3 linked regions of the Mus musculus genome follow. The protein of the gene in region 3 purifies or fractionates together with the protein of the main gene of each other region. This does not show direct contact. Links are inferred from orthologs where the notes say so. Each region holds a gene or a part of one and is shown on either strand. Other genes may lie near its edges. The genes, in order: Mkks, Bbs7 and Bbs12.

Region 1 (4,357 bases), on a different chromosome or scaffold from region 3:
AAAAAAAAAAACATTAGAACATTATGTTCCTGGTCCCAGCTTTGGATATATCAAAGCAAGTGGATGAAAAGGAGGTTTCGTTTTGTTTTGTTTTGAAGTTTACTTCTATATTTTATAGCACAAAACTAGCTAAGTATTCAACAAATTCAATGAATGAATGAATGAATGGGAAGAATATACAAACACAGCTGATCACATTTTAAAGTCCTCTGGGAGCTATATTCACCTCTATAGATGCAGAAAGCCATACAATTAATGATCAAATTTGCTGTTCCATCCATTTTGCTTTGTTATTCTACGGAAATTCCCTCAACGTTATTGTCCCTTTAAATCTCAGTCTTCCTGAACAGTGGTGTTTAACAATTCTAATGGAAAGAGAAGGAATACCTAAGAGAAAAATTGTGTTAAGTCCCAAAATCCAAAACAAAAATACGTATTGGTATAAGATGGCCAAACAGTTCGGTCCAACTGAGGGAAGAGCTGGGTTATCCGAACGAAGTATCACACGCTCTTACCTACGATGGTGGCGGGAGGTGGGTTCGGGCTGTAATGCTTTGTTACTGTCCGGGGTCACTGGTGGACTAGTATAGTACCTGAACGGGAAAACTCAGACTAAAAAGGCGGCAGACCAAGCTTCAGCAGCTTTGGCTTACTTCCCGTTTCCCAGCGTCCCCTCGCACGTTAGAGAATGCAACCAGCGCCCAAACACAAGATGGCATTATCGACTTCATTCGGTTGGAAGCCACTGCCAGCACCTACGATGGCGCCCGAAGCCCTGGCTAAGGTAATGGGATAGCCGGAAAGAACTGCCCAAACGAAAAATGGCTTCTGTCGATGATATCAACGCTTTATGGAGACCAAAATAAAAATGGCGGCCAAAGCGGATTTTTTTTTTTTTTTTAAGAGGTTGGAAAAGCCACAAATACAATTGGCAGATAATGTATCACTGTACGTCAACGATATGTACTGATGGACAACAACAACAAAAGCCGTGTTTTTCGTATCACAAAACTATAGGGCAAGAGTAGAAAATATTTTTAATGAGGAAGATTAAAAGATACGTTGAAAAATAAAGGTGCCTTTCACGGTGCCAGAGAAAAGCGAAATAAAATATGTTTAAACATAATTTCATAATGCTTCGGGTGGTTCAAAAGAATAAAAGACTTATCTCTGAAGAAAAAAAAAAGAAAGGCAAAGCCAAGGAAATTAACCAACCGGATCCGGCACTGAATTGAAGACTCCCGACTTCTGCCAACCCCGCTCCTAGACTGGGCGGAAGTTTCCTGCATGGCGACAGGCTCTGTCTGCGCATGTTCGCTCTCTGACGTCACTCGGACCGGCAGGGCGGAGCCAGTTTCTACAGCTTAGGGCGTCCTGAGAGAGGTGGGAATTGACAACTGAGTGACAGGGCAAGGCGCCTTGTGATTGGTCAGAACAGAGGAAACGCCACCTAGGACTGGTAACAGCTTCATTCGTTCTACAAATACCTTTCGAGAGAGCAGAGAGCCGCACGCTCTGCCACCTTCTTGGTGCTGTGATGTGATGTGATGTGACCTTTCAATTTTGGTAGCGCGCACAGACAGAATACACGTCTGCCCGTAAGATTTCCGGTGACGGCCGCAGCTTTCCTTTGCGGGAGCTTCACGCAAACCCCGGAAGAGGGGCGGGGGAAGGAGGGGTGGTGCGCGTGAGCATAGAGTTGCGCATGCGCCTTCTTGCCGCGCAGGGCAAAGGTGGTGGCGCTCCGCTGCGTGGTTGGTTGCTGTGCAAGCGCGATTTCTGGTTTCTGGTGGTGAAGGTGGCCTGACCTAGAGGTGCAGCTGCTGGTGGGCAGGTGAGAGGGGCCAGGCCGCTGGTGGAGAAGCCAGCCTGCGGCCTCACCGCGTCCCCGCACGGAAAGGTCGCGAGTGGTTGGGACAAGGGTATTTGGGGGCGGGGATACAGAGGCACCTGGCTACCGGATTGGCCCAAGGACAGCTTTCAAAGTAGCTTCAGAGCGGGGCGGTGGTGGTGCACGCCTTTAATCCCAGCACTTGGGAGGCAGAGGCAGGCGGATTTCTGAGTTGGAGGCCAGCCTGGTCTACACAGTGAGTTCCAGGACAGTCAGAGCTACACAGAGAAACCCTGTCTCGGAAAACAAACAAACTAAACAAAACAACAACAATAAAAACAAAGTAGCTTCAGGATGTGACTATCTGATGATGGATCAGTGTGGGTGAGGAGGAGTGACCAATATCAGGTAGAGTTTGAATAGAGCTTCCTCAAACTCACATGCACAAGAATTGTAACTGAAATGACAGACCCATAATGCCACAGGAACTGGAAATACCTTTAAAATGCACGTTATTTACAGTTGCTGGCATCTTGAGAAAGCAATAAGTTGACACGTTGGGGGAAATGAACAGCCTAAACTACTCAAGGCAAGCAAAAAGACAGTTGTCATTCTGGAGTTTTACTCTCGGGTTGTTAGCCAGTTTCTGAGATTTACATATCTCTCATCATTTCTTGCTTTTTCCCCTTATTCTCTGAACATGACCCAGGCACCTCAGTGGACACAGAGTCTGGTTAGTGTCTGTTGATATCAAACATGCACAACCTGCCATGGAGAGATTACCCCAAATAAGCAACTATGTATAGTTTGGATGTGAGGTGGTCTGGAGGTTTTTCGTTATTGTTATTTACTGGTTTCTAATTAATTTTCTGAAGATAACTAATTTGTAATAGAAGTTAAAGTTGATTGTCATGTTTGCTCAAAATTTCTGGTATTGCCTAACACCTCTGTATATGTAGATTAGGTATCCAGAAGTTCACACATCTGATCACTTGCCAACTCTTTATTAACTGTCCTCAGACAAACATAAGTGCCATCCATTCTGTCTTTGCAGCTTTTCTGTGCTGTAAAAGTTTTCTTATTTCCTTCATTGCTTACCTGGCTTCCACACTTTCACACACACACACACACACACACAAAACCACAAAACCTGTTTCTTGAGAATCTGAAATTTTATTTTATTATTTAATTTAATTTTTTTGTTTCTTTGTTTTTTAGAGAGAGGGTTTCTCTGTGTAGCTCTGGCTGTCCTGGAACTCACTCTGTAGACCAGGCTGGCCTCAAACTCAGAAATCTGCCTGCCTCTGCCTCCCAAGTGCTGGGATTAAAGGCGTGCGCCACCACGCCCAGCTGAATATTTTATTTTCATTTTCTTGTCTAGCATAATGAATTGGAGGCCAGCACAGGTTACATGTGACCCTGCCTCATGGAATCTCAACAACATTTTTTTTTTTAAGGCAAAGGAAAAACACATCCTCCCTTTTCCGGTGATCAAAGCACAGTACCAGTCCTTACCTATCTATCACTGAGTACCAGTCCTTACCTATCTATCACTGAGTCCAGGCTGCGGCAGGAGCGTGTATTGCACAGCAGGTTCTTGATGTGGAACTCATTAGTACTCTTGCCAGTGACTTAGCTGAGACAGTACAGGTGTAAAGAGGATTGAGGGGAGATTTGAAGTCCAGGCGATAGGAATCTACAGTTCATCCCTTTAAGTTATTGCTTTATGACTCAGCCATATTGACCTGGTTTACTCGATTTTCTGAAAACTCGTTGGGAAAAACTAAATCTGGATGGCCTTTGTATGCTGTAATAACAGATTAAACTGTAACCCTGTTAGGAGTATAAAGGTTTTCAGTGACAATCGAGGTCACTAAAACAGTCGCCTGTAAACTCAGCTTTAGGACTTCCTGAGAATCGTATTAAATGTTCCTCGACACTACCCTGGAGTTTGGCTTCTGTGGTTGTTCAGCCTGAGAATTTACATTTCTACTAAGTTCCCCAGTGACTAGTGCTACTGATAATGAGACCACAAAACAAGAAAGTCATTTAGAGGTCCTAAGTGTCGTCACTGCATCTTAGGAAGATCATCTGAGATGTCAGGATGTGGACAGTCTTGAAGAGTGAGGGGAAATGTAGAATACATTATATCCAGATTTCTGAGTTGGATAGCTTAGTATATTTTTAATCTTGTATTGTTTTCAATTATGTATAGATGTGTGTCTCCTTGTTGGATATGTGCACTGAGTTGCAGGTGCCCTTAAAGACCTAAAGGTCTGTCAGATCCCCTGGAATTAGAGTTGCAGATGGTTTTGAGTCACCGGATGTGGGTCCTCTGCAAAAGATTTTAGCTACTGAGTGATCTATTTCTCCAGCCCTGCTTTCTCTTTCTTTTTGTCTGACCCCCCCCCCCCAATAAAATACAGGTATAACAGCAGTTTGGAAGGAAAGAAAGTTTGTTGTTGTTCATGACTCAGATCAGTTTGGTTTTTGTTGTTTTAATTAGTTGTGAGACAGTTTTATGTC
Region 2 (3,647 bases), about 700 kb from region 3:
CAGATAGCCTCTTATGAAACAAAGCAAAATCTAGAAATCAGCTAGGTAACTTCTATCTGGTTGCTTGCCCATTCCTACTTTGTATATTTTGCCACAGGATCTCATATACCCTGGGCAGATCTCAGACTCCCTACAAAGCTAAGGATGATGTTGGTTTTCTGATTCTCCTGCCTGCACCTCCTGTGTGCTGAGATTTCAGGCCTGCTCCACAACAATGGGTTTATGTGGCACTGGGTTTCAAGCATGTTAGGCAAACATTCTACCGTTTATTTATGCAATGAATTATTTACTGAGTATTTTATTCCATATGTGTTTGAATGATTGATAAATTCAAATTATTTTTTGCCTCCTCTTCTATCCAATTTTCCTTTTAGTTTTTGAGGACTAGAAAAGTACTGAAGGAGCAAGTGGGGACCATGTGGACAATAGTTATTAGTATCCAAGTTCTCTATCTAATGGTGGGCATTTCGGACTGGGGATGCGTGAGTGGAAGGTAGCTGTTTCCCTCTCTGTATCTATTCTAAAAACGTTCAAAAGATGTCAGCACATTTCCTGGAATAAGATAGAAGCATTAAAGTAACCTTAAAGCATATGGCACTCACAATGGTTTACTGAATAGTGAAGAGTCATAAAAATTCAAAGGGCATCACCTGTAAGACTCGGAGCACCCGGTCCTGGCAGGCCAACACCGGTGTCACGCGAGATAACTTTTCCACAGGAAGGCAGATGACATCATTGATTTTGTCCCCAGAAAGGTAATAATTTTGGTCTTTGCAATCACAGTAGTGATTATAGATGTAGCTTGCACTGAGGAAGAGGTCAGAGCCAGATATGTACCTGAAGACATTAACATGATAATTTAGGATGGTCATTTTAAGCACAGGCAACTGACTGTTTGTTTTTTTTTTAAACAGGTGAAAACAGTTTACTTGCATTTAATAAAGGTAAGTTTTTTGTTTTGTTTTGTTTTGTTTTTTCATTTCACCCACTTAATCTCATGTACCCTCTCTCTTTAAAGACAGGTTCTTGAGCAGTTCTAGGCTGTCCTTGATCTCAGCCTAATGACTGAGGACAACCTTGGAACCATTATGCACTGGCTCTCCCCACTAAGTGTGGGACTATAGGCACAAACCATGCAGCTTTAATCGTTAGCCATTTGATGCATAAGCCACTTCTAATTCTGACAACCTGACAACCACCAGCAAGGACGGTAAGTCAGGATTCTCAGTAAGGGCTCAGAAAAACTAACAACACGTGTCTTCATTTGTTTGTTTTTATAAAACAGCATCAATCGAGAAACTTTTTTAGTGTATTTCATTTGCCAAACACTGTTCTAATTGATATACCCAAAGTAGCACATTAGCACTCAATTCTATAAATGGTTAGTATCCCTTTGATAACCGAATAGCAAAATGTGCCCAGGACTAATGGCTCATATTGGAAATGAGAGATGGCAGGTGGGGGTAACTTCCGCTCTAGAGTTAGCTTCACATTCACGCGCCTAGGAAAGTACACCTCAACTGATTTTAAGTGATGAATGCATGATGGAAATGTTTTCATTAGGATGTTATCTTTGGAATAAGTTCATTTATAATGGGCTTTAAGAAAGTGTAGCTAATAATCACAGCAAGTTTCTAATTCTTGGTCTACAAGATCATTTCAAACACATTATATATTTTTAAAAACCATCTGAAATCTTTTTCACGTGTTGCTGTTGGACTCTTGTCTCACTTCACAAACCAGATGTTTAAAGTCCTCAGTCGAGAGAAGTGCCGTGCACTGCACAGAATGGCACAAAGCTTCTGTCCACCATAGAGAGATGCTGTCAGCTAGGAGTGTCCAAACCAGGCCTCTGGCTACATGGACCACTTGGCTGCATCGCAGCGAAGGAAGAAACTTAAAAGCCACTCCTAGTCACTCTGCTTAGCAAGTGTGAGGGAGGTGGCTGCTGCCAGTCTTCCTAAGACGCCCTTGGGTTAATAGGGTTTAGAGAAGAGGAAAAAGGGAGGGAGACGTGGCTGGGAGGGACCGTGTGAGGGAGGGGACCTGGGGGGCAGCAACTGACATATAGAGTGAATAAATAAATACAAATGAAAAAAAAAGGAGGGAAGTTACATGAACTTCATGGCCTCCCTAGCCCCCATGGCTCAAAAACTAAAAGTTCAGGACTGACGAGATGGCTCAGAAGGCAAAGAGCTTGTCACGTAAAACCTGGTGGCCTGCATTCTCGCCCCAGAACTCACATAAAGGTAGGAGGGTCACTCTGTGAACTCGTCCTCTGATCTCTACCATAAACCACAGCCCACACAGGCCCATCTCTGTTTCTTACCCTCTTGCCCCACCACCTGATAGGAAACAAAGTCTAAATTTTTAACTGTTAAATTTCACATGCCAGGAAGCCTTGTATTTTTCATGTAGTTTTACCCAATTTACCAGAAATTACAACCATTAGTGGCCATCAACTTTAAAGAATGGGTTTTGTTTCTTAAGACCAGGTCTCACTCCATAGCCCATATGGTTGGTGAATTCATTATACACCACAAATTGGCCTCAAATTTGTGACAACCCTCTACTTCAGTCTCCCAAGTATGGGGATTACAGACAAGAACCACCACATTCAGGGACCAGACACCCTTTTGATATAATATCGTTACCTCAAAACCAGAACTACCACAGGCACTTGAGGAATAGGAACCTGTGTATCTAGGTTGTTCTTTTTTTAACTTTTTACATATACCTTGTCATTACCATAATCATAACTGAACCAGACAGTGAAAACTGAATGTATACAACTTCACACTTCAAAATAACTAGCAGAGAGGTTTTAGAATGTTCCCAACATAAATTGTCAGAGGTGATGAGTATGCTAATTCCTCCAATCTGACATCACATATCATATATACATATTAACGTGCCTCTGTGATTTATAAATGCACACAATTACTATATATCTATGGAAAATATAAAATATATTTTAAAAAATGATCACAAAACAAAAAGTGAATGTGAGTGCACAGACACACACATACACACATACACGCATATACACACACATAAAGACCCAGACACACACACACACACACATATACACACACATAAACACCCAGACACACACACACATACACACAGTCACACACAATGTGAAGTTGAAAACATTTCAACTGTCAATCAACGGTGTATTGATTCCAGGTTCTGAATAATGAAATGCCTGTAGCCAAATTTCTTTTCCAGAAAAACCTACTAGTGTATACTAACTTAATCAGATGTATGATAGATACATATGTAAACATAAAAGAGAACAAGACATACATAGCTTTAATGCTTTCCGTGAGGTTAGTTTCAAAAGAGAGAAACTGTTTCCCTCTCTTTGTAAAGCCTCTAATCTCGGACCCTGCAGCAATGAAGATTTTCTCCTGAGGCGTGTTGACGGCCCCTCCTAGTTCCAGCCTCGAGATCTTCTGCCCTGGTAAAGTCTTGAACACTGGCTGTAAAAATCAATTGGGGAAAAAGTTAAGTGTACAAGTTATTTCACTGTAAACATTTTCCTGTACTATAAAAGCTATGATTTTAAACTTATACAATGTTAACAAATATTTTCCACTTGTACATTTCAGGAAGACTCTAACTTCGGAGTACCCAGCAAGTAG
Region 3 (4,275 bases):
TTGTTGTTGGTGGTGGTTGGTTGGTTGGGTTTGTTAAGTAGTCCTGTGCAAAGAAGTTAGATATCCTGGCAGCAAAGATCAAACTTGTCCCAAAGAACTCTACACCCCTAATCAGTAGGAAGTAGTTTAATGATAACGCCATTCCTTTCCCCTCTACTCTTTTTCTCTCTCTCCTATCTAGCATTAGAGGGTTTAAAGAGTAGGAAAGAGTGGAAGAGAAAAGAACCCACAAAGCAGCAAACAGCACAGGGGCATGCATACTAGAACACAATCATCCTGCACCACAAAAACACAAAAGTAAAAAACCCTGGTTATGGTGAACGTCTGCTCCACAGATACGCATGAGAATGTTTGACCAATTATGCGGATACACCCAACATGTGGAAGATGAAGGATCTGTCTGCTGTTTGCTTCTTTATGTCACCAAAGTAGGTCACAGAATCACTGTAGATTCTCCTCTCTGCAAGTGGAGTGGGGAAGCCCTGGAGGTGGCTGAGGATCTAAGTGGCCTATTGGCTGTGGTCACTTCGGATTCTTGGTTCTAGAGCTGCAGATTCTGATGAGTGGTCTTCTAGAGCCTAGGGCAGCCACCTGAGTCACCATTTTTTTTTTCAGCAAGAAGTCAGTGACCCTTTAAGTGGCCTGAGTTGATGAGCCTGAGTGGTCTTCTAGAGCCTAGGGCAGTCACCCGAGTCACCATTTTTTTCAGCAATAAGTCAGTGACCCTTTAGCTTTGAGTGGCCTGAGTGGTCTTCTAGAGCCTAGGGAAGTCACCTGAGTCATCATTTTTTTTTTTTTTTTTCAGCAAGAAGTCAGTGACCCTTTAGCTTTGAGTGGCCTGAGTTGATGAGCCCCTGGCCATCAGGATTGAGTCAGTGGGCCCCTTCCTCTCCGTGAAAGAATTGCTGGTCCCCTGATCATCAGTGGTTAGCTAGGTACCCCACTTCCAGTCAGCAGATGAGTTGGTGGCTCCCTGACCCTCAGTGGTTCCTGTTCCTTCAGCGGCTGAGTTGATGGCCCGCAGGATGTTGGTGGCCCGAGGTTGATGGCCTCTGCTATGCTCGCTTCCCTGTCTTGAAGTCTGTCTGCAGTGGTCTCCGTGCCCCAGGGTCGTATCTCTTTATCGCTGGGCCAACCCTCATAGACTGCAGGCGTTGGTGGATAAATGGAAAGGGAGACCCATCTCTGTTCTCCCTGGCTTAGCTACTAAAGATCCTGACACGGAAGGCAGTAAGCTGGGAAGAACACCAGGGTCCCACAGCACTCACCATATCCCCTCCCTGCGCCCCTGCCCGCGCCCGCGCAACAGCCGCTCTCCCCTCCGCGGCCCGCGTTTGCTCCCGACAGGCGGTTGCTATAGCAGCGCTCAGCGCGCAAGCCCGCCCACCAGCTTCCGTGATTGACGACCATTGCGCCCAATGGAAAGACAAGAGAGCTCTGACCGCGCTCAAGCAGGCGGGACTGGCTGGGTTCCGGCGCTGTGCAGATCCGCGCGTGGTGAGGAGGGTCGTGGACCCTAGGGGCAGGAAGCCAGGGAGGGTGGGGGCGAGTGCTCCGTCACGCGTGTCCCCAGACTCTTTACACACCGGGCCAACAGCCCTGCGGCCTTCCGGCCCAGAGCCGCCCGAGGGCGCGCGGCGGCATGGAGCCCGAGAGGTGGGTGGGTGGGGGCGTCCTTGCGGGGCGGGACGCCAGCCTGGGACCGAGGACGGCGTGGGCCTTCTCCTGGGCTGAAAACAGTGCAAAGCAATCTTTTCCTAGTGTGCTGAGTAAAACGTGGCGCATTCCCAAAGCCGCTGCCTCACGTCGCAGACACTCAGGTTGTAATCCTTAAATCTCCTTAGGTTCCTGGGGTAAGTTTGTCCTTATGGTAGAAGCCAGTTTTCCTGCCTTAAGTTTTCCCAATGGGAACTCAAAGGATGTAAAGTCATAATATTTTGTGAGTGAAGTAAAGTATTAAATCATTTACCTATAATCTATTGGTTTTTTTTCAAGGCACGTATCGCATCCGAAAAGTTACACTTGGACAGTTTTCAGAGTCATAATTAATACTAATTTTAAATAGATTTCTGAAACCCAGAAACGAATATTAGTCAGACAGATAGGCAGGCATTCCCGCGCTCATACACACAAACACACACACCGGGGTGGGGGGGGGGAGGAGAGGGGGGTGGAAGCTGCCTTTTAGACATTCCTGAATATCATTTGATCTGATGACTATCAAAAGGCTGCTAAACCTAAATAAATCTTACATCACCATGATTTAGGAATTTGGATGTTCTAGTGTTAGAGGTTATGGTTTATGATAGGTTAAAGATAGCTTAGGCAGTAGGTTCCTTGAAGAAGAACATTCCAGAAAGAGGGACACTTAGAAATACTGAGACAGGGAGCATGCTTTGCATAGTCTAAAAGCACAGAGAAGGCCTGAGCACAGCAGATGAGTCAGAAAGGAAGAAGTGTGGGTTTTCGTGCTGTGTGGGGACAAGGCCTTTATGTGAGTGAGTTAGGGAGACTTTGTAAGATTCTCAGTACAGAAGTGAAAGGATGTGACTCACTTTTATAGGAACTCCCTGTGCTAAACAGGAGTAAAGACTATTTTCTGAGAGGCTGCTAAGCAGTGGAGTGTTGTGGTTAGATTATAGTGTTAGGAGTAGACTGGAGAGGACACCAGACTTAGTTCTGAGGAGATGAAAATCCTAGTTATACCTATCAAAAAAACGCAGAGCTTTTAAACGTAACCCCTGAAAAGCAAATGAGATGTGATCTTATGAAAAGACAATTTCTGAAGTCAGTATGCCATTTACATAATCTGACTTTGCTCTCCCGTGGCAGATAGAAAGCTAAGGAAACAGTCTGACGAGCAACAGAACTGACCTGTTTGTGGAAGGCATTAGTGCCAGTCACAGCAGAACAAAAATCAGGTTGTGTTAGTGCCGTGCCAAGAACAGTTACCAGAGGTGCCTGGTCACTTTGGAAATTGCCCATCTTCCCATCCCTGTTACTGCCATTGCTGTTTCACATCCAACCTCTTAGAAAATAAGACATTTTGAGTTGTATTACTAATAGCCTATTGGAGTCTCTTCAGAATCATTTAGAAATCTTCCCAAGTTAGGGATGCTAAGATACTTCTTCAGTTTCTAGTCAAAATTGAAATAGAGTCTTCAAATGTTAAAAGATCTCTTGTGAGTATTAATTTTGATATCTGTTGTATAAGACTTTTCTTGCAGATTGTTGAAATCCATCCTTTTATCTGGGAAAACCTTTTTTAACATAATTCAATACAGACTGAGTTTGAAATACCTATGGGTTTTTCCAGTTGTTTTGGATTATTTCTCACTCACAGACTTGATTCTTACCATTTAAACATACTCTAGAAAGGAGACCAGAACTCTTAATGCCACCCCCCTACCCACCCACAACAAATGATAAACATCTTTAAGGACTTAGGAGGCAAAGGGTTTGAAAGAGTAAAATGAAGATTTCTAAGGAAGAGATGATAAGTTACTGTCACACTGAAAGTGAAACAAAACATAGTTGATACAGTAGATAGCATAAACTTGGCAGTAGTTATATGGAGTTTTACCCTTTTATTTAATAGGAGATTTTGTGTCTGTTATTCAGTAATCATGCTTTAGTTTCCACAAATAGGTTAATTATTTTAATGCCAACCTTACATTTTTATTGTGATTTCATTTGTAATATGTGTCAAGTCTGTTGTATAAGGTAAACTCGAAAGTTTTAGCAGTGAAAAACAGCCAGACTCTTCTTCATGTCCTTTTTCCTTATTAATTAATTAATTAATGTATTCACTTTACATCCCAATATCAGCCCCCATCTCCTCCCAATATCCCCTCACACAGATCCTCCCCATGCTCTGGTCCCCTTCTCTGAGGAGGGGGAGTCCCCTCCACTTGGTATCTTCGCCCTGCTCATCCAGTCACTGCTCCAGTGGTTGGGGGGCTGCATGCAGCCAGACTTTTAAACATGTCCTTTCAACATTTTGTTTTTATTAACTAGGTACTCATGAAGGGAGAGAGAGACTGCTGGCTCCAAAGAAATCAGCGTATAGCAAATTACAAATACAAATGTAAAGAAAGGAACATTTAAAACACAGATTTCTCGGCTTCAAACTTACCAGAAAGTTACGGTTTTTATAACTGCATGGTATTGGCACAAAATGCTTACTTCTTCCAATACAGTTGAATTCACAGCCCAGAGATAAACCCATGTATGTATAGCAAGTTGATTTTTGATAAAGGTACTAAGAACATGCAA

Evidence for each region.
Region 1: the proteins of Bbs12 (region 3) and Mkks purify together in Homo sapiens (co-immunoprecipitation; 4 studies listed by BioGRID and IntAct, counting the BioPlex papers as one, with this or other methods). This does not show direct contact. The link is inferred for Mus musculus from reciprocal best matches to the Homo sapiens genes BBS12 and MKKS.
Region 2: the proteins of Bbs12 (region 3) and Bbs7 purify together in Homo sapiens (co-immunoprecipitation; 3 studies listed by BioGRID and IntAct, counting the BioPlex papers as one, with this or other methods). This does not show direct contact. The link is inferred for Mus musculus from reciprocal best matches to the Homo sapiens genes BBS12 and BBS7.

Annotation. Positions count from the first base shown.
Region 1 is NC_000068.7:136,888,520-136,892,876, reverse strand, and holds the start of Mkks (McKusick-Kaufman/Bardet-Biedl syndromes putative chaperonin), read left to right. Parts: upstream 1-1,470; 5' UTR 1,471-1,834; intron 1,835-4,357. UniProt on the Homo sapiens protein: Probable molecular chaperone that assists the folding of proteins upon ATP hydrolysis. Plays a role in the assembly of BBSome, a complex involved in ciliogenesis regulating transports vesicles to the cilia.
Region 2 is NC_000069.6:36,606,871-36,610,517, forward strand, and holds part of Bbs7 (Bardet-Biedl syndrome 7 protein homolog), read right to left. Parts: intron 3,486-3,647; coding exon 3,310-3,485; intron 838-3,309; coding exon 651-837; intron 1-650.
Region 3 is NC_000069.6:37,311,089-37,315,363, forward strand, and holds the start of Bbs12 (Bardet-Biedl syndrome 12 protein homolog), read left to right. Parts: upstream 1-1,465; 5' UTR 1,466-1,497; intron 1,498-1,569; exon of another isoform or gene 1,570-4,275. Other genes in the region: Cetn4 (centrin-4), read right to left, coding at 1,269-1,271. UniProt on the Homo sapiens protein: Component of the chaperonin-containing T-complex (TRiC), a molecular chaperone complex that assists the folding of proteins upon ATP hydrolysis.